2 linked regions of the Schizosaccharomyces pombe genome follow. Changing the gene in region 1 together with any one later gene gives a genetic interaction. Each region holds a gene or a part of one and is shown in the gene's direction. Other genes may lie near its edges.

Evidence for each region.
Region 2: of sen1 (region 1) and cut3, a mutation in one rescues a mutant of the other (synthetic rescue), as found in Schizosaccharomyces pombe (2 studies listed by BioGRID).

The regions. Positions count from the first base shown.
Region 1 is NC_003424.3:3,264,775-3,280,872, reverse strand, and holds the start of sen1 (helicase Sen1), read left to right. Parts: upstream 1-12,832; 5' UTR 12,833-13,347; coding exon 13,348-16,098. Other genes in the region: protein Xrc4, read left to right, coding at 888-1,008, 1,054-1,190, 1,334-1,453, 1,506-1,922; protein Ebp1, read left to right, coding at 2,726-4,222; puf4 (RNA-binding protein), read right to left, coding at 4,643-4,948, 4,999-6,738; bouquet formation protein Bqt1, read left to right, coding at 8,174-8,456, 8,608-8,723; CHS5-like protein Cfr1, read right to left, coding at 8,776-10,638; syb1 (synaptobrevin family receptor), read right to left, coding at 12,133-12,296, 12,361-12,562. UniProt on the Schizosaccharomyces pombe protein: ATP-dependent 5'->3' DNA/RNA helicase required for the expression and maturation of diverse classes of non-protein-coding RNAs like precursor tRNAs, rRNAs and small nuclear (snRNA) and nucleolar (snoRNA) RNAs.
Region 2 is NC_003423.3:997,745-1,013,842, reverse strand, and holds cut3 (condensin complex SMC subunit Smc4), read left to right. Parts: upstream 1-7,319; 5' UTR 7,320-7,379; coding exon 7,380-11,354; 3' UTR 11,355-11,580; downstream 11,581-16,098. Other genes in the region: prp2 (U2 small nuclear RNA auxiliary factor small subunit, U2AF-59), read right to left, coding at 1-288; fan1 (fanconi-associated nuclease 1), read left to right, coding at 1,131-3,242; protein Cwf25, read left to right, coding at 3,852-3,886, 3,949-5,044; erv2 (sulfhydryl oxidase), read right to left, coding at 5,247-5,825; SPOM_SPBC146.02 (uncharacterized protein), read right to left, coding at 12,041-12,832; mediator complex subunit Med15, read right to left, coding at 13,763-16,098. UniProt on the Schizosaccharomyces pombe protein: Central component of the condensin complex, a complex required for conversion of interphase chromatin into mitotic-like condense chromosomes.

The DNA.
Region 1 (16,098 bases):
AGAGAAAAAAGATTAAATATGCTGAATTTTTTGACGAGCTTGGGTTTAGATTTACTAAAAAAACAGGATTAGCTTTTCTTTAAACTCTACCATTTGATTTGTTTTTGCGGTTAATTGATTTTCAAGTCGCTTTAGGAAGAAAATATGGTTTACGGACTCAGTCTTCGCAATCAATTTTAGGTTGTTTCGGTGTATCTTATATATTTTTTTTACGATCATTAATGTTTATTCGTAAGGTTGCAATGTACCTAATAACCAGTGGTCTCTGTGCAAAGCTCTAAAGCCTTGACAGAGCATAAACCTTTACATTTATGTAAAAACCTCAGTTTTATATCTCGATGTAGTTTTGAATCTCGAAGAGAAAAAATGATATTATAAACAAGGCCTTGTTAACCAACACATATTGATGAAAGCATTTTTTTTGAAATCACCTTAGTTTAATTGACTTTAAAAAACTTTCAATAACTTGTAGTAGTCATCATCTAATTGCATTGCGAATTTCTTCTTGCTAACTACTTTAATTTGAAATTCTTTTTTTTTAACAAACATGGTATAAACATTTGCGCTGATTCTTATCCAATATTCTCGTATGGAAACCTCTTATATTATACTAAACGATTTGTTATATCACCGAATCAGCAATTTTTCAATCAGAAAGATTCTTTTCTTTCAATGAAAAAAATCTAAAAAAAAAACAATTTTCAAGATAGTGTTTCTTAGTAACCTAAAATTTTAAACTCATTCGGCTTCCAATTTATCAGCTGCGCACACTAAAACATTAGCAGTCAACAAGTTGGATTATCAAGTTTCTTATTACGTTTCCCTGCAAACTTGCACTGAGACCGCCTTGATGTTTCACATCAAATTTTGAGCTCAGGAAACAACTCATGAAATTTTTTTTATCACTGAAAGATTTTAAAGGAGAAAAATTCGTCCTACGCTCAGAATTGGATGAAAGCAGTGCTTTCTTGTGCGCAATTAGCCCAACCTGTAGATACGTCTTAAGGGGTATAGAAAGATAGTGTGTAAAACGTTCTTTTACTAATTTTCCAGATGAAATACCTTGGAAACGATTGCAACGGAACGTAACCTCAGAATCATTAACCGATGAACTTATCGTGGATCTGTTGTGCGGCAGATCCGAATCAAAGCACACATTGCAATTAGTGGTTTTAGAGAATTTATGTAGGGTATGTTTATTGCAATACTGTAGTAGTTAATGAATTGCTGATTGTGTGATGACTTTCAAACCAAGGAATTTTTTTGTTCGTCGCATCTACCCCATTTTGCCAGTCGTTTTTGAGCTGATTAATTAAATATGCTAACAATTTAGATTTATATCAACTACGTTGATCCTTTCCCTTTACGTATTGCCTGGTTTGAATTAGAACAACAAGCATTGAAAGACCATGAACATTTTGATGTACTGTGGGAGTGCAGCCATTCGATAAAGGTATGAAAAAAACTTTACATTCTTTCTCTTTTGCTGATTATTTGAAATTTAGGACCTTGCCCTTGCTAGTATGGCTCAACAAAAAAACGAGCTTCAAAAGCTTATGGCTTATACAGAGCAACTTCAAGAAGAATGTAAGTCTAGGGAACGAAAGCTTATAATGAAATTTGCAGATATGATTAAAAATGCAAGAAATAACGAGGATAATGAAGACAACCACCATATTAATTATGAGGATGAATCTGATGTCGGGACAGACGAGCAAAAGCAGCAAGAGGGAGTCAATTCTTCCGCAGTCTCTGATACTGACGAATCTGCAGTTTCTGATGAATTTATGCAGATAAAAGAAGAATTTCCAATGAAAGCATTGAGCGCTTCACCAACTGCAGACGCTTCTCCCGAGTCAGCAGGTGAAGATGATTCACATAGGCGATCGTCCCACGAAAGTAGCGAAACAGTTTCTGAGTAGCTTCGGAAGGAATGATAATATGATACATTACGCTTCAAGTTAAACTACCCGAAATGCCTCTCCATTCTTACACTTTTTTCAGTATTCAGGTCAACTTTATTCTCTTTAATTTCAAAACAATAATAAATTTACTTAAATTTAAATATTCACACGGAATCCTACTATAGGTAAAGCACTTGCAAGATAAATACAATATGTATAGTTGGTGAATTTTTATAAAGATGTCTTATAAGCCTAGCACTTCCTTCCTGTACAAAAGAATGAAGCATGTTTGCGATCGTGTTTACCATGCTATTATTTTCTGATCCACTTTTTCTTCAGCAAATTTACTATTTACATATATAATTTGTTACTCAAGGTTGGGCGCGTTCTGAAGTAACGTGTTTATTACTTGTCGACAATACGCTTCATAATTTCACCAAAATCCTATAACCAAGCCTGTTGTAATTTTATACTGGGATTTAGGCTTGAATATTCTTTTTTGACGGCATTTAGCAATTTTTGGCTTTGGATAAATGAATGCTTAGCTGTGTGGGCAAACGGGTTTTCGCTATTGGAAACGCAGTTACTAATTTGAATTTGCTAACATTCATACTGTTTTTAAATTAAATGCTGTGAAGATTTCTTTTCTTAAACTTTTCATATCTTTTCGAGTTACATGCTATCGGTAATTGCGCTAATTGACGCGAATTCTTAATATAATAGGCATTATTTGTTGTCTTCTAATCGAAATCTTTTAATTCCATAGCATATCTCTTTTTTAAGTAAATACTTTTATTTGAATAGTTTATACAGCGCATGCGATGAGCAACGACAGCAGTGATAATCAAATTCGTCGTCGGCATCATCCAGTACTGCCTAAGGGTTCCTTTCAGAAAAAGGACGATTCTATCGTCTTAGAACAGGAATTATCTACTCCAAAACAAGTCAACCAAGCCCGTCCAAAGTTTCCATCTCCAATTACTCCTACTCTTCCTGAAATGCATCTTCCCGTAGGGAATTCAAAATTCCAAGCGGTATTGCCAAGCTTGATAAGCCCTACGCTTCCTCCTGGGTTTGGAATGGCAAGCGATGACTCTGAAGCATCGTTAGCAGAGAACGATTTACATCCCTTGGATAACGATTCTACACGTACTAGCAAAACGCTTAAAAATTCATCAGAGGTTTTAACCGCTTCCAAACTTACTGATGAAGGTAATTCTAAACCTTTGTTGGAGGAAGGGGAGGTAGCTGTCAGTTCTCCAATTCTCCTTGATTCAAAAGATGTAATAATGGGAGTCACTAAGAGCTCAAAAAATCTAGTTGAAGATGCTCACAAATCAAAGAAGGCCTCCACGAACAGTTCCATAAATAATATGGTATCTACTGTAAATTCTGAAAATTCTAATGTTAATAATGGATCCTCGTTGAATGGTAACACCAGCAGCAATCTCAAGAGAAAAGCCAATGTAACGTTAGGTGATTATAAGCGCTTAAAAGTAAAAAACAAGAATCCTTCTTCCCAAGAGCTGATCACAGCTGATGTTGACAAAACATCTGGTTCACTGTCTGAAAAGTCGGAAGTAAATCATGCCTCTTTGAAGAAAACGTATATGCGTCTTCTTAACAGTGGGAAAATGCAAAAGAAAGAATGTGATAAGAAAGGAAAATTTTTCGAAGCGTACGCTGTAGATGCTGTTTTATGTTACACAGTTGCTTTTCACCTACAGAATCTTTCCAATCTTTCGAGAAACCATCCCGCTACTACGAGTAACTGGAGAACCCTCCCTGCGTATATTCAGTTTCTCATAAAAGAAGAGGATAAACTGGATCCTTGTATTCAAGGACTATTTTTTCTTTTACTCGGGATTGCATTTCGTGAAATTTTTCATATCGAGGTTATGAGGATACGACACTCACAATTGAATCTTATGAGAGACATAAAAGAAAGCTCAAGTGGATTAACATCTGCCAAGTCCCTCGGTGATGCACAGAATTTATGTGAGAATGCGGTGCGCCTTTACTCTTCGTATAAACATTACATTACATCTATGAAGAAGGGAAGTTCGTTGTTGACAATTGAATATATCTCATCTACTGCACCAAATACTTTTAACGAATTTTTTGTCCAAAAAAAGGCAAATATCCCTTTGCCATTAGATATCGACGCTCCAATTGGTGTCACAATCAGGTTTAGTCACAATTTATTAAACGAATGGATTAAAAAGCAAGGAGATGTTTTTGAGTCAAAGCTTTTAAAAGAAGATATCGAAAATCTTCAATCTTTAGAAGAAAGCTACCCCATTGCCCAATATTTATAAATAATTGTATTAACTCCCATAACTTGAAAGATTTGAGTCGGTCTTCAATAACAGAATGTCATTCTTTCACTAATAAAGTTACTTAATGTATTTTGCTTTATCATGCCTTTGTGTTTATTTTCAAATATGTAGAATAATCGAATAGATATTGATTCCCACGCTAAGTAGAAGTAATAAACTAAAACGTTTAGAATGCATGAACTTCTTAAGTACCTAGTACTATTCTGAATTTATATGATACGTTCACTGTAAAGATTTAAAAAGTCGTAAAAAAGTTCGAGGCTAGACTTAATTGTCTTTTAATACTAGATATACAAAGAAAGGCGATAAGCCTTTATACTCATGGTAATAAATAAAGAGCGATTTCAACAATGCGAGAGTCCTCCTTAATAATATGCAAATTACAGACGATAGAAACGTTTAAGCTGAAGAGGAAGTATTAACTCTTTCAGAATTACTGTACACAATAGGCTTTTCTTTCGAGCTCGGATGACGACGTTCTAACTTTGAAAGAATGCGACGACCACAGGGCGTATTCTTTATGCTTGGAATAAGTGGTTTAATCCGTTCAACCAACTCTGCGCGTTGCTTTACACTCGCATTATCAAGTGCCGTTTGAATAACATAATTAGCGAAAGAATCACGAAGTAACTTGGGAAGATGCTTTTCATCCATTAGTTCCGAAATCAGTTTTTCCTTAATAGCAGCGGGAGCAAAAAATATACACTAGTAAATTGATTAGTAAATTTCTGTTTTAACTTTACTACAAAACATACCTTTTCCATTACATTAGAGCTAAATTTTTGAGTTGAAAGAGCTCTCACTTTGTATAAAAAGTATGAGATAATAGCCTCAGTATGGTTTGGGTTGTTTAATTCCAAAACATACTGTAAAACGTAATTTCCGAATGCATCTTGTACGAGAGTGAGCGCATGGGGGACAATGTGTTCCACAAGTTGCTCGATCTGCGCAGGTGATGCATGATCGAAACATCTTTGAACGACACAGCATCCATGGCGGTGTGTAGAAACATCTAACGGATCTTCACAGATAGCATCAAAAATGAACTGACAGTCCTCTTGAGAGAATTTGTTGAGACATTTTTGAATGACATGATTACCATTTAAATCCTTAGTCAAAAGCACGACATTAGGACGCAAAGCATTCACGATACAAGAAATTTGATCAGGAGAAGAGACTAAATCAATAATCTTTTGTAAAGCACGGGTTCCGTGCATATTAAACGATATTGGAACAAGTTTAGGGGCAATTATTTGAATGAACGTAGATCGTTGAGCTTCAGATGCATGCTCAAACAATTTTTGACACAAATAGTTACCAAATGCATCAACCATTAACACAGCTAAATAAGGATGGGTTTCAGCAAAAACGGCGTCAATGTGAGATTGATTTTTCTTTTCTAGAAGTCGCTGTAAATAACGACAGCCATGTTGATCCTTACAGAACGAAAGAATATTGCTATTTTGCAATGAAAGAGATGCAACCGAAGAAGAGAGAGAGGAAGACACGCTAGGGTCATCGGATATCAAACTAGGCACGTTAAACCCAGGGGTATCAGCAGGACTCGGATTTCCTACAGTATTAGCCGAAGGAGGAGAAATAGTCGGTGTCGGAGCAATGAGTGTGTTAGCGATATTTGAGCCAGAGCTGTCAGTACTGCCCGTACTGGCCGTTGAGGCAGCCAAAGACGGAGTTAAATTTTCACCAAAGAAAGAAGTGGCATTAGAAAGTAGAGGGAAGGCCGCTGAATGCTTTGAAATAGATTGCAGACCATTGGCCATTGATGAAGAAGAAGTAGTAGAATTATTAGTCGACGAAGAACCTGAAGTAAAGGCAAAGTTTTTAGAAGCCGAAGGATTATTGGCGATCAAGCCAGGATTACCTCCAAGATTCGACGACGAAGAGATGCTTCGGCGAGAAGTAGAAGGTCCGGGCGTGTACGAAGACAATCCAGGACGACGTAAAAGTATGGGGATGTCATCTAACGTCGTATTCATTTGTAAGATAGAAGCCGAGCTATTTTTAGAGTTACTTCTTTGGTATGAAGCAGAGCCAGGCAAGTATAAAGAAGAAGATGGAGATGACAAATTATTCAATCCACCGCCCATAGTCGCAGGCGGAACAAAAGTTGTTGATGAAGAGTGAGAAGTAGTGAAAGAAGGAGTGTTAGAAAGAAGGTTATAGGGAACGAAATTCGAAGATCCGAACGTGTATCCACTCATGCTAGTATTCCGGTTCATGTTCCCAGTACGGTTTCCGAAAGCGCCGGATGCCAAACCGCTTTCCACAGCGGCTTTTGAACCATTTGTTTTTCCGGATTTAGAAGATGAAGGGATCTCAGACAAAGCAATCGGCGCATTAGCGGCATATGGATCCCAAGAATTCGATTTCAATACATCTTTATTCTCAATATCAGAGTACTGTGAAGAAAAGACTGGAAGCGAATATTCTGTAGACATAAAGGATGGATGAGATTTAGAAGACTGCTCGGTCATGCTACGCTTATGTTTTGCGAAGGATTACCTGTTGTCATATATTAACAGTCCGTGGGATAAATTGTTCTTAGTGGGGGATTTTTCCCAAACTATTTCCTGTCCCGATACAAACAAAAAGATGTAGAGAAGAACGATACAACACAAAAAACACAACCTCTACTTTACTTTAAGCAGGCGACTGTACAGTGTGTGGAGTGGAAACCATGCTTACTGTGAGATGTATTGTACCGACAGCAGGTAACACTACGGGTAACGCAACTTACTAAGGAAGAAGCAGGAAGGATTTGAAAAAAAAGAGAAAATGTGAAATTTGTGCTTCGAAGACAAAAACAATTTTTTTAAATGCTAAGAATCATCCCAATTCAGTTTCGTTTCACTCTCTACATTTTTTCTTGTAAGGCGTAATGCCGTAGTTTGACAAAAAACAGATCCCATGAGGTGATTTGTAAGATACAACACCCGTTGGTATGCCTTTTAATGTTTTTAATAACATGTCTTAATGATTTTTATTGGGAGGACGGCTGAGAGAAATTGACGGCAGTCAGTGCATCCATTCCTTCGTTGCACATGTTGATTTTACTTTTACTCGAGAATAACGCCAGGCGGTTCTTTTTTTTAAGCAATAACTACATCATTCGAACATTAATTAATGCTTATAAGAGCTCTTCAAAAGTATCTATAAAGGTTGAGCCAGCTGGTATTTTTATGTCGGCAACTTGATACAATTGTTGTGTATGATTAGTCGCTACATATTTATTTCATAGATTTTCAGTGAAAATCAAATTTATTTTTGGATTCCTTCTTCAAAACTCATAAACAGCCGTCAACTTGTAAACAGAGGCTCACTAATAGATGACGCAATTTTCGCTTAACAACTGCTTAATGCACTCTAAAGATGATAGGTAAACAAGGTCTACTACTTTAGCAGATTAAGACAGTGAGCTGTATTTTGAATAAACATATGTATAAAAAAGCACATCTATTCCTCAAAAGCGTAATTTTTTTATTTTTATAGGTGATATCTTTACAACGTTGTGGGCGTTAAAGATTGTTATGTAAAGCAAAACAGAGAACTTGCTTAAGATTCTCTGAATTTTTAGGTTTCCCTAAAAAACCCACTGTTGGTTTATTTAATTTTCATTTAAGTCTGAAAAAGTCTTGTTTGTGCTATCAGAAAATGCAGTCGTCAATAGAGGATGTCCAAGCTAATATCAAATAGGTGTGGATTTCTTTGTGTAAAAGAAGTCGATTCCTATTCTTTTTTTTAATCTTTTTTGATTTCAAATTTACACTTTTAATAGGTTGTTGGCTTTAATGTCTATCCTCTTATTATTATATGTGGTGTGTTCATATTTTATGCACCTCTTCTTCTACAAACGACGCGTTTTAAAAAAAAATCCTTTCACCCATCCTAAATGATACTGATTTAAACAAAATGCATTTATTAACTACGACGCTTATTTCTTTTGAACAAAACAAAGTAGAATATTTAACCCAAATCGCGATTTATACTCAAACACCTGTATGCACTGATTCAAACTGTGAGCATGCTAGATTTTTAAAACACAGCCTTATTCAAGTTTCAATTGAAAGGATAGAATATTTATACTCGATATTTCCGAATATATGGCAATTCGCTTTGCTTTGCCAAGGTCAAAATAAAGAATCATTGATACATATGGAAGAAGACGCCAGCACGAATTTCAAACTACGATATTGTAAGTTCTGTCTATCAGTATAATGAAACATAATTTCAAAACCTCCCATTACCCATTTTTGACCTAGTTGATTTAATTTAAAAAAAAAAATTTATTAGAGAACGAAAAAAAAATCCGAAGCTATATATTTACTAATGCTAAATGAGTTTAGATGTACTTCCATGGTCTAGAAGACTGCAAGGATACCAGAGCATTACAGTTCAAAATGGTTCCCATGTGCCTTTAGTCAAACGATTGGAAAAGTGGAGGATATTCGTAGAATGTTAACATATAAACATAAGAAAAAAAAAAGACTGCAGAATACAAGAGATCAATGTCATTAATCAATGTTTACACTTTCAAACTCGTCAGAAGATTGTATAATTTCTGCTTCTTTGTTGGGTATTAGATTGTCATCAGCCGTAGGTTCCGAACTTTGCTTAACTGTAGTAATATTTAGATCTTCTTCTTTATCGAGCGCATTCAGTTGCAAGTTAGTAGTATGCGCTTTTTCTGGCTCTAAGACTTCAGAAACTTGAGGGATTTCCTCAATTGCACCGTTAGTACCAATATCTTCAGCTGCTGCGGGAGATGGCTTATCATCGTCTGAATTTTCCTTAGTATCTAAAGGGGCTTCGATTATTTTCTCATCTGTCAAGCCATTCGCATTTTCAGAATTAGCATTGTTTTTTTCAACCTCTTCGTTAGTTGCAGGTCCTTCTTGATTCAATAAAGATTTAACAGCGTTCTCTTCAATTATTTCGTTAGGTTCAGCTTCTTCCTCATTCGCTGAGGATTCAACAGTACTCTTTGTAACTGCTTCACCGGAGGTAGTTTCTTCTTGATTGATTAAAGATTCAGCGGCTGTATTATTTTCTTCTTTTTCATCTTCAAGTCCTTCAGTCTCCGGGGTATTGTTTTCTTCGTTCACGTTAATCTGCTCAACGGCTGGCAAAGAAGATGGTTTTTCTTGATGATTGTTAGCTTCAACTTCGGAAGTTTGCTGGGCAGCAGGTGTACTTTCCAGATTCGAATGTTCCTCAGCATCCTTTATTTGCATATCCTCTTCGGGATTTTCCTGCTTTGTAGAATTTTCTGGCTGATCCGCTTTGATGTTTTCCGAAGAAGTTGGAGCTTCATTGGGCTTACTAGAATCACTTCGTAAACCAATGTCGCTGGAAACATCGATTGATTGCTCAGCCTCAGTTTCAGGCGCTTCAGCCGGAACAGAAGCTGAACTAGATGGCTCAGCATTTGCACTATTTTGAGTTCCCTGTTGGGTTGTTTGCTGTGGAGCTTTAGCTGATGCAGCACCTTGAGCAACTTCAGCGGTATTCTTCGGTTGTTCGGTTGTAGCATTGAGATTTGGTGCAGCATTTTGCGCAGCTTCTACAGAATTAATAGAAGCGTTAGCATTGTAAGAAGCGCGATTTTCGATGTAAAAACCACTAACGTTCACCAAACGTCCTTCAGATTCGCATTTCAACAAATAATCCAAACCTAAAATAGGGATATTGGCAGCTTTTGCCTTTTCGTACTCAGGACCCCCAGTAGAAGAGCAGATAAAATGAGTTGTATCGATACGAACGCTAGTTTGAATTGGTCTAGCGTGAATGCGTTCAATACACTTTTGTAAAGCCTCCATCTCATTGGGAACCATGTTGCCAACACACACTTGAATTCCTGTGAGATCTATCATTCTTAACGTTTTGATGGTAATGTGTTTGCTGGGAAATGTTCCCGCAGTCGTATCCAAAACAAGGGAAAAATCGTATTCTGTATCGAGAGATAAGCCACTCAGCTTGGCATTGTGAGTAGTCATGGGATTAGATATGTTAAGCACTCGAACATTATTACGGTACAAGCAAAGGCTTTTGAGTCTCGCAGTGGAGAGTTGTAAAGGATCCCATTCCAATACAATGCTAGTCTGAGTAGCATTCTTTAACTTAAGAACAGGAGGAGACGGCAATTTTTGGCCATATGTTTCAAAAATTTCTTTTTGAACATCATCGAATGCAGTTTCTCTTGCTATCTCTTCCTCTTTATTGTGATGCACAGAGATATCGATTATAGAGCCTGCAGTCGCGTCATTCGGCAGCAACACGGATGGAAATTCTATAATATGAAATGAAGGTGTCAATAAGATGGCCATTCCCGCATCTATTTTGGCCACAGACACCATAAATTGATTTGTATCATCCATTTTAGATGCTATTATTGATAATCCCCTTTGGTTGTGGTGGAGTGTTTACCTTAACCAGCACTCTTACACTTCTAACTATAGGTAGCACTTGTTACCTAAGGAACCGTAGTAAAAATGTAGGTTATAATCATCTTTGTTTTGATAAATATCAAGAGTTGTTGTGATTCCCTGGTTTTTCACAATCTATTTACATATCAAACTTATATATTTTTTAAATTTTCTGGTTAGTATCATTATAAGCGTAATTCTAGTAAGGAAGACAATTACAATTTATTAAAATTATATACAAATATTTGAAGATATATTTAATTCAATCACTCAGTAAAAGTGAACGATTTAATATATGTAGTTTATTATTATATTTCAACGAGAATTCATACAAACAATATTACAAAAAAATCTGTTGATTTTTTCAATCATCTAAATTATTAAAATATTGGGCTATTATTATCTATTCTTCAGACTAAAGCATTTTAAGGGGAGCAAATATACTACTTTCTGATACAATTAAATTCTAAATTACGTTAAGTTACATTGATAGTAAACAAAAACAAATGCAGTACTGTTGAACCCAGTTGATGAATATATCTTAATTCGTAAACCGTGCTGCATTCAAAATTTAAAATACTACACGAATGAAGGATTAGACCACAATATCTGTTGAGCAAAATAGAAGTCGAAAAATAATACAATTGTTAATCTGGATATAAAACCACGTGTGAGCAAACTTAAAAAATATTTCCTAATTATCAGGTTTACACATTTCACTCTATAAAATTAATTAAGAATAGTGGTTTTTTAATACACCTATCAGTGCAATAATCAGTATAAAAAGAAGCTAGCTTCTAAAGGAAAAATATGAAAATAAGATAACAAATTTGCTCCCGTACTAAGTACTTTTGAAGAATTAGAAAAAAGCCGTAGACAAATGGAATATCGAGGCTAATCTGTATACATTAAAACATTATCCATCTTTATGCTATAGGGTTATCCATATAAAGAGCGGAATAGAAAAGAAATACCGAGAAGGAAACAAAAATTCTATTTACCATCTTAAGTACGGAAAGTAATGATAATTTTGTATCCATAAAGATTTCCTTTGTCAAGCAAGCAAGGCCCATGATATGTATGGTGAGGTGTAGAAAGAAGAAAAGAGGAAAAAGCAATACAGGCCAAAACCAAATTGCTCAACAAAAAACCAACCTGGTATTCACTATCATTGACCCGTCAGTCATCAAGTATGTATATGCAAGAAAAATAAAAACGAATAAAGGATCTTGAGAAAAAATGCGTTATCTCTTTGCAAAAAAAGTGGCCCTGTCTACATCAGAAGCTTTTTTCTTAAAATTCGATTTATAGGTTGTTGTGTCAGGCAAGAGAGAAAGAAAGAGAGAAGGAAGAAAAAAACCAGAGACAAAAATACGCTTGAAAAAAAAGTATTCAAACAGCAAATATTTTGACTCGGCATGCGACTAAGCTACATGATACATCTTCTTACTTGCCATGAAATTTTGTTGCGATAGGAACAATAATGACAACAAGTAAAATGATGATACCAATGATAATGCAAAGACGCATACGCATGTCCTTCCACCACATCTTCTTGCGAACACGATTGGCGCCACGACGGAAGCCTTGCGCGCTAACAGCAAGGTTATCTTAAAGAAGTTAGCTAAACGTTCAAAAAAAAAATTTAACTGTTAACAAAAATAAATATCATACCTGTTTTATCTTGTAAAGAATCAAGGCGTTCTCCACGTTCTGAAACCTTAGAAATGTTTTCACGCATAATCCCCACAGTATCGTCAATCTGCTGCTGAATTGCAGCTGTCTTCATATTCGGCGTCGACGAAGCAGCAGCATTTCCACTACGAACAGCTGCAGAAGGCTCCGCCGGGATATATGGGTCATATGGCTCAGACATGGTCGTATGTGTTAGTTGGTGGAGGATTTATTTTTGCGCTCGGTTGGAGTTGATGTGTACCAATTCGTTAATCCTCTTTCCATTGCGTTAAACATCTGGCTTTGTAATGTTGGGTTGCAAAGCAGTTTTGTGATTATACTTATATAAATTAAAGAAAAAAAATAAAATAAAGTAATAAAATTACTTCTTGCCTTTTTACAATAAGAAACATGTAACTAGCTGTACCCTCATAGTAAATAACGTAAACAAATCCTTAGTATTGGTGAATTTGGGAGGAACCAACTACGCCCTTTGGAATAGAGATTTGGAAACACGTCTTGTTTCTTGGCGATTTGAGCTGTTCATAACAATATATTTCTTCTTCTAAATTTCCTTGAGTTATGAAATTTTTATGAAAGTTTTAACTTTCACATAGTGTTAAAAGGTCTCCTCTCATCGCTGTAGCGTCCGAAACGTTATTTGTTATTTTATTCTTGAGATCTTTTGTAAATAAAATTTTATTTACGTTACGATTTACGTCTGGATTAGGGTTTTGGTTTTGGCACTTGCAATATTAGATTTTTCCTGGGTTTTTGGTCTATCGGTGAAACAACGTTTATTTGGGTCCATTTAATCATACATTTATTAGAAAAAAGTCTTTAAAAAAGAGACAATACTCACTTACCTACATTTCTTTTGTTTGTTTTTTTGTTTTCACTCTTTTATCAGAAAAACAGGTTGAAATTTCCAAAAAAAATATTATTTACTTCATAACATTAAAAAAATATTAAATTTGATTGTTACAAATGGCGGAGAATCTTAGCGATCAAGATTGTTTTGAAAAATTATCGTCTAGTAAAGAGGGTCAGCATTGGTTTTGCTCAGGACTACTGACTCAGTATATACAACCTACCTTCTTTTGGTTTGCACATGATGAAACTCCGAGCTTTAAATGGGTATTAAATGCCTATCATGAGCGTTTACGCTCTTGTACTTCTTGTATACAAGCTTATTATGAACTTCGAAATGAATCCCTTGCGAAAGGTTCATATTCTTTTACTGGGTTTTCAATTACCGATTTACAGGAAAAGTGGAATAAATGGGATATTATCCGTGTCTTAGAGGACTTCAAGGCCCTGGAGGATGAAACAATTGACTTCACGTCTTTGCCTTGCTTAATTTTCGAAACCCTCTTGAATCCTAAATTGTTTACCTGTAAAAATATTTATAAAAATGCAATAGATGCATTTAATGGTCTACTTTCAGATTGGTGTTCTAATATATTTCTTCCTGGTTATTTACTATTTTTCTATGAAGCTTCCCATCCCGATGTTTTGGAATGGGTTCATAGCTTTTTTAAGGAAAATACTGAAATAAGAATTTCTTCTGCTACAGTTGACGCCGTTTTTAATACTGTAGTGTTTGAAAGTCAAAATTCCTCTGACAGTGATTGTAATTTCGTGTCTATAAGTAGTCCTGAATTTTGGGAACGTACTTACATGTTTTTAGAACTTCTTCCTTTACAATCCATTACTGCTGCATGTGAGTCCATTTTAAAAGATTATCTTTTAAATTTGGTAAAGACTTCTGAATCTCTATCCTCTCAACAAATGTCCTGTCTTCGAATTTGCTGCAATTCCTCATCCTTTTGGTCTGCCGCTGATTCATTTAAGGAAGTGTCTTCTTTCTTAAAAAACTTGCTAAAAAATGTTACAGCTACACCTTTTGAAGTATCTGACATGAACTGGGCTTACATTATTGCTTCATTTTTTCGCACATGTTTAAATGACTTTGTTAGTGTTTTTCCGGAATGGCTTAAAGGATTTGTAGAAGAGAAGCGTACTATAGGTTTCATCATTTATTCGGTTTTGGATGCGTTATTTGATCTATTATCGCTAGATTACAGCTCTCCTTCATTTCTTAACAATACACTATCGTTGATGAATGCTAATAGCATCACTATTTTACAAGATTATCCGGAGTACATGCTGAAACTCAGATTGCACTCTTTACTTTATGACATTGCATTTATAAGTTGGTCTCATAAGGCAATCACTAAAAATCCCTCATTTGTTTTCGATCCTTCATATGAACTCTCTCCTTTTTGGAAGCTTGACAATCTACAGGAAGAAAAAATATCTGACGTCCTTTTCTCTAAAATTTCAAGTTGTTGCTTTGCCCACGATATTGAAATATCCGAAAATTCTACACCGTCTGGAACCATGGTGCAGTTTGCTGAACTATGGCAAGTAATGTCGGAATATATCAGTGGATTTTTAAAAGGATTTTCTGAAAAGTCGTCTACTGAAATTTCAAATATGCTGGGAGATTCTTCAAAATTTGACACAGTTGTATCATTTCTGTTATCTCCTACTCAGCCGCTCTATGTTAGTGCTTTTCATATTGTCCAAATAATTACCAATTGCACTAAAAACAGGAATGAGGCTCTTAAAAAACTGGTTGCAATGGATTTTCGAGGAATTGTGCATGGTCTAGCTGATGCTGTTCTTAACTGGCAATCTATTTTAAGCTTCTTTCCTGCTCTTCGAATTATGAGATTTTTGAGCATTACTAATAAATCCTTATCATCTGACAATTCTGCTTTCACAGAAAATGACATACCTACCTTGGGTGCTTATTGGCAGTGCATCTGGAACATATTGGATTTAGTTTTTTCCAACGTTGCCAGATGGTCGCTTAACAATCCTGCTGATACGGTTAAAGCATTGATGAAACTAACACTTAAGTTTGTTGATGATCTTTTCCAAAATGACGGAATCTTCATAAAGCTCCTTGCTAAGTTTGATAGCTTGATTCTGTTAGGCGAAACTTCTGAATCATTGTTCTCTTTTATTATGTGGCTTAAAATAAACGATTTAGAATTAAGGGGAATTGTCATCAATAGTTTATGCAAGCTTTTCACTAAATTTTCGAATTTTGACTACCTTTTCGAGGATCGCACCGTTACCTTCCTTACAGATTTTATCATTAGAAAGCAAAAAGCACATTTGTCTGCCGATCAATGTAAACAGCTTGCTAATGTTTTGACTCAGGCTAGCCCTGAAGCAAAGACTGTACTTGAGCAACACCGACTTTCGGAAATGCGAAAAACAAAGAAACAAACAGAACTAACTAATAGTGCACATGTCATAAAGCCAAGTCCTACACCTCAAATTACTGTGAAACAGAATACTACTAAATCTTCAAGTGCCCCTCGCATGGGAATGCTGGAGCAACTAAAGCAGGAGTATTTGACTAAACGAAACTTTGAATCTAAACTCAAATCATCTGCTGTATCTTCAAGAAAGCCAACATTTAATGAAGTCAAGCCAGCTAACCTTTTAGCTGAGGACCTCTCAGATAATGAGGATGATATTGATAGAAAGCAAGGATTATTCTCTCTTGCCAAAGCAAACAAAATTCCAGAGATACGCCAACAAGAGCGACGACAAGTGCAGCTATTATCTAATTCCACTATTAAGATGCATCCTTCACAAATTCGGATGATGACTAATAGGAACGTTGCAAATGTTAAAGCACGCTTATTTCCAAGTATG
Region 2 (16,098 bases), on another chromosome or scaffold:
TCCGACAGATGAATAACGTAATGATCGAGGCTCATAATCATCATATCTTCTTTCTCTTCTTGGCCTCTCATCCTCTCGATAACTTCTTTCACGAGATTCTCTATGTCTACGAAAATCACTTTCGTCTCGGCGACGTCTTCTAGGTCGTTCAGAGCCATAATGGCCTCTCGGGTCTTCCCTTCCTATCCCACCCGAACCTCTTTCTCGTCTAGGTTCTTCATCGCGATAATCTCTGTGTCGCTTGGGTATCCGTGAAGAACCTGATGATAATCTGGAAGACAAATCCATGTTAGTGAATGAATATGAGGCTATTTAAAAAATTATTCAAAAAAGAAGGGAGGGAAGAAATTCGTTTATTAAAATGAACTCTTAAATTCTCCGGAAAAAACTTTGATGAAAGTAGGGAATACAAAAGTACAAATTCTAATGAAATGATATGCGCGTCAATGCTCTTGGATTCCTTGCTAAAAAAAATTTATAACATGAACAATAATAATTAACTTATTTTTTCTTTATGTGATACGCCCAAGGTTAGTCAAAAGTTTCGACTTACTAAGTTAAGGTAGTGAGAGTTTGTAGTAACTTCGCCAGCGTCGTAATTTTAAGCACAACGTTGTTGACTTACATTTTCTTTTTAGTTTCAAATAGCAACTTTCGCTAAACTTGCATTATAGACAACACTGTAACTTACGAATGCAGTTAAATTTTCAAAAGCATTTATTTAAACTGTTGTCCTTACCCTAGTACCATTCTCCTAAGTTTTAACGAATTTTTCTCTTTTGACCATAGTATTTGATTGTATGGCTTTCTTTTAAAGCAATCTTTAAAAATTTACAGCTGCCATGAAATTCAATAATTTTCGTTTTTTTTTTGCCAGTACATCCACGATAGATTTAATGTTTGTCTCATTTTATCCTTGAAATCCATGCTCTTAAATTGTATGTTCAATCTTTTAAAAATTTACTTTATTACACAAGAAGACGTTTACATTCATTCAAAATTTATTATTATTTATTTTCATACTAGCTTTCCATTGTTGTAAAAGCCGCTCTTTTTTTTAAATATTTGTTTACTTACGGCCATCATCTTGTGCACTTATTCAGTCGCGCTGCTGTGATATCTAAAAATTCATGAAACGATTCTTTAATGAAGCGTGCGACATAAACACTCCAGATAAATCTGGGGTAAACGAGAACAAGTTATGTTTCCCTCCCTTAAAAGTTGTATGTCAAGCACCAGAGACAACAGTTAAAGGACAAGTTGCCAATACTAATAAGCACAATGTATATTCTACTAAAAATTCAATGTATCTGCTGGGGTTCGAAGAAATCCTAAACACCGTCCTCGATTGTGAACCGCATATCTTTACTGATGATGAGTTGAGGGTTATTGAAAACTTTAAAGCTTTAGACTCGGATGAACGGTACTTGTTTGTTCGTCTATTCATGCGTAAAAGAAATAAATGGTTCCGCGTGGGCCATTTGACTTATCCAGATTGCAAGGATGTTATTGCCTGCTGTAAGCAGCTTGTTCTGAAAAATTTTTTTGAAGATGAATCACTCATGTCAACTGAAGAAATAATTGAAATTCTATCTCTCGATGAATTGCGTTCGTTAGCTAGACAAACGAAGGTGTGTGGAAAAAGCAGGTCTGAAATTTCAAAAGAAATCATTTTCCTATCTAAAAGACAATCAGTACTACATTGTAATGGTCAACAATTTTTGTCCTTTGATGCTTTTGGTGTGATGCATAAGCAAGAGTCGTTTCTTCGGAAGCAACTATTATATCAATGCAAATCCTGTGTGAAACCAAAGAAAATTTTAGTAGACCTATTTCATCGAATTAATATTGTGTACTTTCGTTCGTCCATTTATGATGAACAATCGCTTACGTCTTTAATATTAGCACGCCTTAACAAATTTTCCTACCCGAATTACGTTTTATCGCGAACTTCAAACGTCTTTAATTGTCGTGCTCAATGCCTTGAATACGTTGAGGTTTTAGAACTTTCAAAAAACTTGGTTCCAATCTTTGAAAACACTGCCGCTTCGGATAAGGAAGCACTCGAACAAGCGTTGAACAGTTTTTTTGAAATATATCCTATATGGTCGACATATCTAAATGAAGACATTAGGGAATTTTGGGTGGAAGAAAATAGAAAAGTAGATACTCGATTGGTAAGGTTTTCTTTTAGCTTTCGTCCTGGTGCTGTTTACACATACTTAATACATAAAAGTCTAAATATTCTCGCGAAGTCGCGATTAGTTGAGGTTGAACATGAAATATTAGATACCCTTTTATCTCAAAATATATATTTGGTGGGTAAAAGAGGACATTGGTATAATAGAAAAGCCTTACTGGAATACAACTTTAAAACTGAGGATACTAACGTTTTGCGTTATTGGAAAACGCTTGCTTTATCAACTTGTGAAAATGGTATTGAAGACAAGTATACCCACCTCAGATATTACTTTAGCTTACAAAGGAGACTTGTTCGCTTACGGAAGTGTTTAAAAGTCTCTAATACTACCGAATTAAAAAGCATGAAACTTATAAATAATAATCCTTCAAGACTTTTTCTTCATGGTGAACGAATACATAACGGTGACCTTTCAAACCGGACTGTTTGGCGTAGCAAGACTAATAATGCTATCACAGTTGAAGAGCTTGCTCTTCAACATTATCAATCGATTGGGTGGGAAGGTATACATGCTGAAAGCAGCATTTTGCTAACTTTGTTTGCTTTGACATTCTGGGATATTTTGTTTGAGGACGTTCCTGGTGTTTTTCAATCTCCGTTTCAAAGTGCACCTTTGGATTTGCACACTGATTCCTTTTATATATCTAGAGAATCGACAATCATGAAAAGACTTGAGGAAATAAGAAATGGGAAAGCTGGCCTAATTATAAAAGATAATTATATCAGAGAGCACCAAAGAAAAACATTTTGTGTAGGTCTTAATTGGTCGTATACTTGCGAAATGCTTCTTGAAATTGTCGATTGTATCAACGATAATGGACTCGCCCAAATATTTCTTGCTTTGACCCAAGATTATAAAAATAGTTCTAGCGGGATACCTGATTTATGTTTGTGGAATCCGTCTAAAAAAAAATTTATGTTTTCAGAAGTTAAAAGCGATAATGATAGGCTCTCAGAAGCGCAAAAATTCTGGATATCATTACTAATATCCAGTGAAGTTGATGTTGAAGTTTGTCATGTCTCCATGCACAAAAAAAAATAAAAAACGTGATTGTTAATCTTTTCATTAAATGCATAGCTTATGTAAATTACACTTTGCTTGCTGAATTACCATCGTTTTGCCAAGGAGAATAACTTAGTCATTTCTCATTTTAGAAATGTTGATTGATTTTGAATGGATTAAGTATATAATATGCAACTTATTGGACTGAATTCACATATTCTATTCCAGTATATAATTAAGTTTCAACCCATGTTTTCATGCTGTATACCAATTTGTTTAAAATCACATTCATAATCAAGTAGGATTTTTAATGATACATTGCTTTTTAATCAGTTTAAAGTGAAATAGAACTTACGTTTATCAATGACTTAGTTATAGCTAAAATACTAAGAAATCTGAACGTGATTATTATTGATTGGTCTCAGAATTCGCAAGCTTGACTTTCTATTCTTGGGTAACATGTTACCCAAGTAATTTAGTGTATATGTTTGCAAAACACTATGAGTCACAGGTAAAGCGAGACTCAATTTTTTGTATTAATAGCCACTTTTTGAGAATTGTGGTTTTTAATCCTAAAAATAAAACAATTAGTGGATTTTCCTCTCAATTTTATTTTGAAATTTAAACAACTCTTATTAGTAATTCAAAATGGGTGGTGGAGATCTAAATATGAAGAAAAGCTGGTAAGTGGATTTATTTGCATTAATATAATTGTTTAAAGATGTTTTACTAATATTATGATTAGGCATCCTCTGCTAATGAGGAACCAGGAAAAAGTTTGGAAAGATGAGCAAGCTCACAAAGAAGAGATGAAGCGAGTCGAGCAACTTAGGCGAGAAATTGAAGAAGAACGTCAACTATTGGAATTACATCGGCTACAAGAAGCTGCTGGTGGAAAAAAAAGAAAAGACAGAGTTGAGTGGATGTATGCAGTTCCTAACACGAATGGACCCAATCGTGACTCTTCAGAAATGGAAGAATATTTGCTTGGAAGGCGACGTCTAGATGATCTTTTAAAGGACAAGATAGAGGATCAAAATAATTCATTAGAAAAAACAGAGTTTATCGCTCTTCAAAACGCGAACTCCCTACAAGACACACAGGCAAAGTTGCGACTAGATCCTTTACTTGCAATCAAGCAACAAGAACAAAAACAACTACAAACGCTTATGGAAAAAAGGAAATACTCTTTAGACTCTGATAGAAAGTCGAAAGAACGGCGGCACCGCGATCGTCATCATCGAAGCAATCAAGACAGAAGCAGGGAAAGGTCAGATAATGAACAACATTCTTCTGACAAAAGGGAGCATTCAAGAAGAAGCTACCGTAATGACCGAAATAATTGGAGAGAACGCACACACAATGATCGCTATCGGCATCGAGATAAATATGACTCTGGTTATTTCAAGAAACATTACGATGATGATATGCGCTTTGATCAGGGTCATTTTCAAGATGAAAGAGACCTAAAAAAATATGTGCGAACAAGCAGACAATATTCTCGTTCACCATCTCCGGATTTCAGGACTCGAAATCACCAATTTCATTCTCGAGACTCGCAACCTATCACTCAAAGGCATACCGATATAGAAAGCCGTTTACAGAAAATGCAAGACAATGCTAAGGAATTAGATGAGTCACGAAGAAAAAAAATTGAACTATTGGAAAAGAAAGAAAGAGATGAAGAACAGTTTTTGGAAAAAGAGAGACGCGATACCGCAAGAAAATGGGATAACCAAGGAGATTTTATCAGAAATATGAGAAAAGAGATCTACTCTGGTGATTCTGTAAGCTTGGCAGATCGTGTGAATAGTAGCCGACATAACATGTTAAGGCCGTAACGTGATTTCTATGTTTTTTCTAATATAACTTTGATGCATAACGATATAACATTTCTGAATAATGAGTGGAAATGACGGTGGTAAACAGTTGAACATATCAGTTTAGGGTTCATTAAATAAATAGCTTAACATCCAAATGCATTGCATGATAGACGGTAATATTTTTTAATAATACATGAATTCTTAAAATTAACCATTGTTATCAACCAGAATAGTCGTGATCTTCGTTAATTACTTGTACCCGTTCAGGAACATTTTCAGCTTCGCTTTCGCGATAGGTCGGCGATCCGATTACATATCTCTCATTAAATCCATCGCATGATGTCTTTGGTTGATTCATTTTCTCATTTAATTGATTGTGTACTTTGCAAGCCCACGTAGTTGCTGCTTTTCGAGAACTTGTTTGTGGAGGATGTACATCTAGTATCTTTTGGAGTTCCACAGAGTATTCACCACATGGCATTGTAATAGCGGAAGAAAATAGATAATGTCTTAAGATATCTCGCTCATCTAATGTTGGTCTGTTTGGATAATTGGAAACAACCGTATGAATTAACTTCCAGTATGCATTTACCATTAAATTATTCGTGTTATTATCGTGCTTCGTGGACATCATCTCAATTGGTTTTCTACCTTGACCTTCTCGATCCGGAAGCGATTTAATTTCAGGCATAAACAGACGCCAATCTTTGTCTACCATAACACTGTGAAAGATCCATATAATAAACGATAAGATTAGTAGGGTAGGGAGAATCACCTGAATTCTTCTATTAAGGATCATGTTTTATAGTATTTAGCTACTTCGTTTTCCCCGTAAGAACACCTTCATCTACCAAATTAATTGTAAAGGAGAACTGCAAGGACAGAAACTCACGCGGCTTTTTTGATCTGATATGCGGCATCGCTATGTTGCAATAACGAGAAGGAATTGATGGTAAACAAAACTAACCTCCTGGGTTATACAGAGCGAGTGCATCGTTATATCTAATGCTAATTAACAGAAAAACTTTTAAAGTAGTAAGATGGAACAGGCTGCTGGATGATCCAATGCATTACCAAATTGATTTAGATAAATGTATTGCCAACCCTTTAATTTTTTTTTTAGATATTAAATATCTTTTATATCAATTCTATATGCTTTTTATTTTAAGACTCAGAAGAGTTTTAATTATAAGTATAGTTAATAGTTAATAAATATGTAGTTTAGTGATAGAGATATAACCAAATAACAACAAAAAAATTAACTAAAGTATCATTATTATAAAGTCCATTGCTAGGTTTTATCACTATAAAATTTTTTTTAAGTTTGGAATTATTTACTAAAAAAAAGAAACTTAACGTAAATAAATAAAAACTAAGAGGACTTGTTAGTTTTTGTTTAAAAAATAAATAAATAAATAAAGAAGGAAGAGTTTAGCTAAGTTATCAAGTGAGCATAGATAGCATATAATAATCTATGTTTACAGATTTAAATGTTTTAAAGATAAATTACTTGCAATTGCTTGAAGATATGAATTTGCGTTTGATTAGTTTAAATCAAAATGTAAGAATTTTGGGTTAAATTAACATATGGCAAAAGGCTTGTCAAGTTTAAAGCTAAAAAAATACAAAACAATAGTGAATTTGAAAAGTTGTTCTAAAAAACTTGGACAAATCGTTTCCTTGCATTAACATTTCATTTAAAGAGCTAATCTATTTATATTACTTACTGATTATTCTTTATTCGTGGTTATTTCACACATAGGGCTACCCAAACAAGGTAAATTTTTGCGTCGTCTTGCTAGATTTAATGAAGGAATACAGAACAAAAAATCTTTGAGCTTTATATTTATTGTGTGAATTGAAAGAGGATGTTTGCTTGTGCTAGTAAAAACTTAGAAACAGCAATGTATTCTGCTCGTCCTTTTAATATTTTGCTAGTGTAAAGTGTCAGAGCAATATTCTCTTTTACTTAATTTTCGTTTTGAGTTAACTTTCAACGTCCAAGAATACCAAATTGACTAGCATAATAATTTAATGTATAATAGACACATGAGTTTATAATTACAGGTAAAAAGATGTTTGAAGTCTTCCTTTAAATCAGGTGTGTAGGTATAAAATAAATAGATCATTTTCATCTAACATGACCTGTTTACACAATTATACTTCAGTCTTTAGTTTATAAACATGGGCTTTAGTGTAATTTAACTGTGGGTTTTTGTATATTTTATTCATTAATTGACTTCATCGTTGGGTGAAATGCTGTTCAACCGTTGTAAACAACACACCTCTTTTCACGACCACCCACTCTTTTAGAATTTTAAGTAATATATAATTTGTTGAAGATACTATCTTTATGTCTGACAAGGGCATCTTTCGAACGTCTTCAACACCCTCGATTGTGGATGTTACGCCAGATCGTGGTGAAAGGCCACGAAAGTTGGTTCGCTCAGTGCTAGAATCTCCTTCTCAGAAAGATGTCGCATCAATTGTCAAGATAGAGCAAACACCATCTCGCCCATTTTTCAATGACTTTTTAAAAAAAAGAATTACCGATTCTTTAAACGAACGCCCTAATTTGCTCAACAAATTTATGTCTGCTCAAGATGGCACTCCATCTAAATCAACAGGTTTCAATGAACGGAGTTCACAACTTGTGTCAGAATTTACTACTACAGAGGATATTGAGAATTGTGAAGAAACCACTCAGGTTCTTCCTCCTAGACTGGTTGTTTACGAGCTACGCCTAACAAATTTTAAATCATATGCAGGAACTCAGATAGTGGGTCCGTTTCATCCTTCTTTTTCTTCAATTGTTGGACCAAATGGCTCTGGGAAATCTAATGTTATCGATGCTTTACTTTTTGTTTTCGGTTTTCGTGCTAGTAAACTTAGGCAATCCAAAGCGTCTGCCTTAATTCATAAATCTGCAACTCATCCTTCTCTCGATAGTTGTGATGTCGAAATTACTTTTAAAGAGGTAAACTCTGACTTTACTTATGTTGATGGAAGCGAACTAACAGTTCGTCGTACTGCTTATAAAAATAATACTAGTAAATACTTTGTAAATGGGGTTGAGAGTTCCTTTTCTGCAGTTTCTAATCTTTTAAAGGAGAAAGGAATAGACTTGAATCATAAGAGATTTTTAATTCTTCAAGGAGAAGTCGAATCAATAGCGCAAATGAAGCCCCGGGCTATATCAGAAGGTGATGATGGTCTTCTTGAATATCTTGAAGATATCATCGGAACCTCGAAATATAAGCCAATTATAGAAGAGAATATGCAAGAACTTTCGAATTCTGATGATATCTGTGCTGAGAAAGAATCTCGTTTAAAACTGGTGCTCTCTGAAAAGGCGAAATTAGAAGATAGCAAAAATTCGGTTCTTTCTTTTCTCAAAGACGAAAATGAGTTGTTTATGAAACAGAATCAGCTTTACCGTACTATTCTATACGAAACACGCAATAAAAAGACGTTAGTTCAAAACTTGCTTAATAGTTTGGAAGGAAAATTACAAGCACATTTAGAGAAATTTGAACAAACCGAGCGAGATATTTCGGAAAAAAATGAAGAGGTTAAATCATTGCGTGAAAAGGCAGCAAAAGTAAAAAACGATTGTACTTCAGAGAAGAAAACTCGCCAGTCTTATGAACAACAGACTGTGAAGATTGAAGAGCAGTTAAAATTTTTACTTAATAAAGAAAAAAAGTTAAAGAAATCCATTGAGGCTCTTTCATTCGAAAAATCAGAAGCAGAAAATTCTTTAAGCTCTCATGATATTGATTCCCAAAAGTTGAATTCTGAAATTGCCGATCTCAGTTTAAGACTTCAACAGGAAGAATTGAGTTTGGATGACATTAGGAAAAGTCTACAGGGAAAAACGGAAGGTATTTCAAATGCTATTGAAGAAAAGCAAAAGGCTATGGCTCCCGCCCTCGAGAAAATAAACCAATTGACATCAGAAAAACAAATTTTACAGGTTGAGTTGGATATGTTATTAAATAAAGAAAATGATCTAATTAACGATGTTGAGTCCTCTCAATCTTCGCTTGATAAACTGCGTAATGATGCAGAAGAAAATCGGAATATCCTGTCTTCTAAGCTTAAAGTGCTTTCCGACCTAAAAGGAGAGAAGAAAGATGTTAGTAAGAACATTGAAAGAAAGAAGGAAACTGTTCACAATACTTACCGAAATCTTATGTCAAACAGAACAAAGTTGGAGGAGATGAAAGCTTCTTTAAGTTCTTCTAGATCTCGTGGAAATGTGTTAGAAAGTCTTCAAAGACTTCATGAATCTGATAATTTAAATGGTTTCTTTGGACGTCTTGGTGATTTGGCTACAATTGACGAGGCTTATGATGTGGCCATTTCAACTGCCTGTCCTGCTTTAAATCATATTGTAGTTGACAATATTGAAACTGGACAGAAATGTGTGGCTTTTCTGCGCTCCAATAACCTAGGCCGTGCTAGTTTTATTATTCTCAAAGAACTGGCGCAGAAAAATTTAGCTCGTATCCAAACACCTGAGAATGTTCCCCGGCTCTTCGACTTACTTCGGTTTAATGATCAGAAATTCGCTCCTGCGTTTTATAACGTTTTGCAGAATACCTTAGTTGCTAAAAATTTGGAACAGGCTAATAGAATTGCGTATGGCAAAACACGTTGGAGAGTTGTTACACTAAGTGGTCAGTTAATTGATAAATCGGGCACAATGACTGGAGGTGGTACTCGAGTAAAGAAAGGCGGAATGTCCTCAGCTATAACGAGTGATGTATCGCCGGCTTCAGTTGAGACTTGTGATAAACAAGTGCAACTAGAAGACACTCGATATCGCCAACACCTAAGTGAGCTGGAGAGCCTTAATCAGCGATTTACTGAAATTTCGGAACGTATTCCATCGGCGGAACTAGAGATTTCAAAGCTGCAGCTTGACGTTTCTGCTTGTGATAGATTGGTAGCTGGAGAAGAGAGGCGAATCTTGCAGCTTAAATCCGATTTAAAAAGTATTAGAAACAACAATGAACGTAAACGGAATCTCCAAAACAAAATATCAAATATGGACAAGGAAGTTGAGGCCATAAATATTAACAATGAAGGCCTTGTCACTGAAATTAAGACGTTACAAGATAAGATCATGGAAATAGGTGGGATTCGATATCGTATACAAAAATCAAAGGTCGACGATTTGCATGAGCAACTCAAATTTGTTAAAGACAAGCTTAACAAAATGAGTTTCAAGAAGAAGAAGAATGAGCAACGCAGTCAATCTTTCCAAGTTGAACTATCAAACCTTACTAGCGAGTACGATACAACTACTGAAAGTATAGCCACTTTAAAGACTGAACTACAATCGTTAAACAAGTATGTGGATGAACACAAATCTCGGCTCCGCGAATTTGAAAATGCTCTATGGGACATCAATTCCTCTATCGACGAACTAGTAAAATTTATTGAATTTGAATCTAAGCAAATGAATTCCGTTAAAGCAGAAAGGATTGAATTGGAAAATCAAATTCAAGAGCAGCGTACGGCATTATCAGAGGTCGGCAATAATGAAAATAAATATTTAAAGCTCATGTCAAATCTGAAGTTACACAATTTGACTGAATTTTGTGACCAGACAACAATGGACTCAACTTTTCCCGAATATTCTGAAGATGAACTGAGTTCAGTTGATAAAAGCGAGCTGGTCTCTAATATTTCAGTCTTGAAAAAGAAAACTGAAGACAGAGAAGTAGATATCAATGTTTTGTCTGAATATCGTAGATGTAACAAGGAAGCAGAAAAGCGTGATTCTGATTACCAAAGTGAATTGCAAAAAAGAACCGATTTGAAAAAAGTCGTTACAGATCTTCAATCTCAGAGGCTCGATGAGTTTATGTACGGATTTGGAATTATATCTATGAAGCTTAAAGAAATGTATCAAATTATTACTATGGGCGGAAACGCAGAGCTTGAGTTAGTGGATAGTTTGGATCCGTTTTCTGAGGGGGTATTGTTTAGTGTGATGCCTCCCAAAAAATCTTGGAAGAACATATCTAACCTTTCGGGAGGAGAGAAGACGTTAAGTTCTCTAGCCCTTGTCTTTGCTCTACATAATTACAAACCGACTCCTTTATACGTTATGGACGAAATCGATGCTGCATTAGACTTTAAAAACGTTTCGATTGTTGCGAATTACATTAAGGAAAGAACTAAAAACGCGCAGTTTATTGTTATTTCTTTAAGAAGTAATATGTTTGAGTTATCTTCTCGTTTGGTTGGCATTTATAAAACGGCGAATATGACTAAGAGTGTCACAATCAACAACAAGGAAATACTTACAGATTAACTGCACATTCAAATAAAAACGTAGAAAATTGGAAACTAGATATTTAATAATTTACGAATTTTTGGCTACTGAATGTCAGTGTTTCATAATTCACAGTGTGCATACTAATAAATCTATGTTATGAGAAGATTAAACTAATTTAGTTTTGTGGCACCCAGTTTATGTTAATGTTTCAGAAATCTGTTTATGAACGTAATAGGACTACAAATATATAAAATTAATCTTCACTCGCTTTTAAAGCCTGTAAAATCTGCGCAAAGGAATTGTATATAATTAAATATGTTGTTTACATCATCAATTTCAGAAGGTATCTACAATTTGTAGTTACATAGTATAATATTTTAGTGGGTAATGCTTTTAAAGATTTATTGCAATCGTATGCATACCATATAGAACGTATCCAATTTTAAGTAATTTAATTTTATGGTAGTAAATTAAGAATAATTAGAAACAAACAATAAATTAGATTAAACAATATGAGTCGTAAACTTAAATAGGAAATCTCAATGCACACGACGAGATAAATGAAAGACCAATTAACAAGAAAAATGCAAATGATAAAAGCTTTCCAGCTAATAAGAGATAGGAGGACTAAGGAAGAAAGTAATGAAGGAAATAAATGAATGTTAATTACCACATGGCTAGCACCATGTAGCCTAACATGGAGCATCTGAGTAACACTTATTTTATAGCCAGTCGCACTGATGGTGTTCCCACCCATTAAACTCAGTCAAACCCAGGTGCTGAATTTTCCTCTTCGATTTCGATCGGTTTCTTTTAAAGGACAAGCTTGATTCGCCTTTCACAGCAGATTTAAGACGAGAATACGCATCAGAAACTCGGGAAGTAACATTTCTTTTAGAAGGTGTTCTGTCTATTAGTCCCTTGCGAGAGGAAACTTCTTCAATATCGAAAAACTCTATATCATTTGCAGAATTTTTTAAAGTGCTTTTACTACTCCTTCTATTGGCTCGTTTTTGAGCAACAAGCTTCTGAATTGCGGCGCATTCTAATCTGTATTGCGAATTGCTAAGTTCCTCACCAAGTGCACCTCTTGCAAGCCGTGCAGGGGAGGATGGTGAGGCATAACGACTATGGTTTGAAGAAAGACCAAAACCCTGCTTTCCAACGCTGTTTAGCTGTTTCGAAACCGAATATTTATGAAATCTTAACTTTAATGGAGAGATTGGTGAAAGTAAAGGACTTGAATCACCAATGGAGTTCGATGCCGCTTCCAACAGCCATGGCGAATGCTGCGAAATGTTTTTGTCCCAAGGTGATACTGGCGACTTTAACTCTTTATATATGGCATTGATCAGTTCGTCAGATATATGATGTGATAGCTTCAGTGAATTAGAGGTGCTATCTCCAGAACTTGACCTTGTTCTATCGCTTTGATCATCACTGCCATCAATGAAACAGCTGGTTTTTATATTATGGAGTTGCAAGGTTGCTGGTTTTTTCCTTATACCATTCATTGTAAGTTTAAAAGCAATTAATCTGCTTGATAAAAAAATTAATTGACTATTTTGTACTTAATAATGAAGCTAGGAGATCTCTGTATTCAATTATTGTTAAATCCTACGATTCTTATTTCAATGAATCAAGAAATAATATATCGTTAGTAAGATAACTTTTATTTACAGTAGGCCACGAGTTAGCGTGTTATATACAAGACTGAGATCACAAGGTTTCTTTGTTCATGGAAGACAAAGAAAGCTTTTATTGACTTCAATAATACGTAAATTTTAATTAATTATTAAGCTCAATAAATTATCGGGAGTTTTGAAATATTAATTTGTTTTCTCATGTTAGATGGTAATTCGAGATAGCTATTTGGCGGTTAGGTTAAACCAAAGCTCTTGAACCAAAGCAAAAACATAAACTGATAGCTACTTTTAGAATATTTGAGATAGTAAACATTAAAAACTATACAAATATTCATTTAAGAGATTACAAATTAATTTTCAACACCAACCGGTGCACTAATAATAAATTAACTAAAATCAACTTAAACGTATGAATAAATAAAATTTGTAACGGTCCTCATTATACCGACATTTTCATGTTCACAATGAGTCTCATAGACAGGTCATTAATCGGGAAAAAGCCATACTTTCTGGCATTGTGCCTAATAAAGGTACAACCGGATCTTCAAAATATTAAATTCAGGTTCTATTTTTATCATTGTATATAAACACAAGGACTATACAAACCTTTTCCCAATCACAATTTTCAACATAACAGATGCTTTCAAAAAATGGAGAAACGTTGAATAAACAGAGAAACAATATATGTCTATGGTATTCATAAGATATTGTAGAAGGACAAATATGTCCAATTTGCTTTTTGAGACGACGTGCAATAAATAAATAAAAAACAATTGCGAACCATCGTATCACAAAATTTTAAATCACAACTTGCCATATGTTTGTAGATGTTGGAAATGCGATGTTGTCTTCATCTTCGTTACCCACTTGAAGCTGCTTTAGCAAAACTTTCTTTTCATGAAGCATTTCATTCCATGGATCTTTATCGTCGATCGCTGGATCTAGAAAACATGATTCATCAAAATTAATTTGAGTAAGCTTATTTTGCATTTTAGTCTTATCTTTATCTGCATCCAAAGCAAGATTCATGGTATCTGGTTCCTTTAAAAATCCGATTTCAGAGTTGATTTCATTACCTAAATCAGCCCAAAGCTCCGAATCATCATTAAATGAAAATTTTCCGTCCAATGACAAAATATTAGATGGACTAAGTGAGTTTTTGTTATCTGTAAATGATAAATCTGGAGTTGACGGAGGAATGAAAAACGACTGAGGTGTTTTCAAAATAGAACTAGGAGTCTGTGATGATTTGATAGCAGAAACTTCTTCTTCATGGTCTACAGCCACAAATGCATCGATTGCGTACTTCAAAGGATTAGCAATTGCTTCTTCCCGAGCTTTAGCCATTCCTTCCTCTTTGGCTATAGTACCTGGAGAAACACTAGAAGGTATTTCATCTACACTTGACATTATAACATCAGGAGTATTTACGACTGAATCCTTAGGTTTTTGAACTGTCGATAAGTTTTCTATCTTTTTCTTCTTAGAAGGCGGTAACTTGAGATCTTCTGGTTTTAAACCATGTTTCATGACTTGTGATGCAATCTTCTGTTTGGCTTGCAAATCCGGCTGAGATACATCCAAGGATTGGAATGCAAGTTTACTGTCAACAGGAAAAGATGTGTTACCAACAGAATTTGCTTTGGCTGCAGGTTGGGCTTGCCCAGGAACACTGGGTTGCGCATTAGGAATTGATCCATTGATAGGACGTACATTGGATGATACAGAAGGAGCTTGAGGAAACTGGGAAGCCTGTTGTTGCTGCTGTGACTGTGGCTGTGGCTGCTGCTGTTGATTAATAGATGCAGTACGGAGCGAGGAGATATGGGCAAGAGCATTTTGAATACTCATATTATTGTTATTTACTTCATGGTGAAGTCTTAACAGTTGAGCTTTCACAAAGGCAAAATAGCGACTGGTTTTCTCCTTAATCTTGGCCAATGTTTGCGGAGCACAAGTAAAAACACCTTGCTGAAGACCTTCAAGTTGTAATTTAAATATATGACGCATTTGTATCAATTGAATCGTGGCTTCCTCATTGCCTGTCAAACAGTAAAACAGGCAAATCAGTTGATTTGTACGGCTAAACATAGGATATGCAGATTTGATAAGACTCGCAATCATAACCTTTTGATCATGAGGCAAATCAAGAGGCACTGGCCGCATCAAACTATGCATTACTCTTTCGGTGAGTTCTCGAATACGCGAAGTCATCTTTTGTTGTCCCATAGTTCCTCCACACTCAAGCAGTTGCTGAACGATAGAAGCACTACTATTTCCAGCCGCTAAGTTTGTAGGCCTTGAAGCAGCGGTGTTTCTTGCACCACTAAGAGGAACTGAAAGTGCTTCATTCCCCGCCTTCGTAAAAGCTGAAGGAGGACTTGCAGAACTTCTAAATGTAGACGATGTATCAAGATTAGGAGGTAGATTATTTGAATAGTCGACCTGAGATACAGGCGGCTGAGTGGGTTGAGTAGCGTTGCGAGCCTTATTTGTCAAATAGCTTTGATAATTAGTTTTGGCGGCATTAGCTGAAAGCTTTGTATTGATCGGTTGTTGGCCATTTTGTGAAGTAACAGAAGCACTTGTAGGATTAGAAGTACGGTGCAACTGCTGTTGTTGTTGTTGCTGTTGCTGAGCAAATGCTTGCTGCGAGAACGCTTGGGGGTTGCCCGTATTATCAGGTTGTGGATTCCCCAGTTTATTGGTATTAGGGGCATTTTGCGAGTTCATTCGAGCATTCTGTATTTTATTAAGCTGTTGCTGTCGGTGCTGCAAAATAATTTGTAGGTGCTTTCTATATAGCATACCTATTAGCTTCAATTGTTCCGGAGGTAAACGCTGAGATTGTCCTAATTCTAACACATCTCTCCATATTTTGACATTTGGAGGTAAATTAGGAATTTGATCGAACAATTGCTTAGGAACCGGGATATTTAGCATCTCAATATTTATACGGTTATTATTCGTAGCATTCACATTAGGATTATTTGGAGGAGCAGCAGTTCGCTGAGGTTGCTGTTGCTGAGTAGAAGGTTGGTCTTGTGGAGACATACTTTGAAGAGACTGGGCACCAACGTTACCTTGAGGGTTTGGAAAAAAAGCATTTTGCGGAGCTTGCTTTTGTTGTTGTT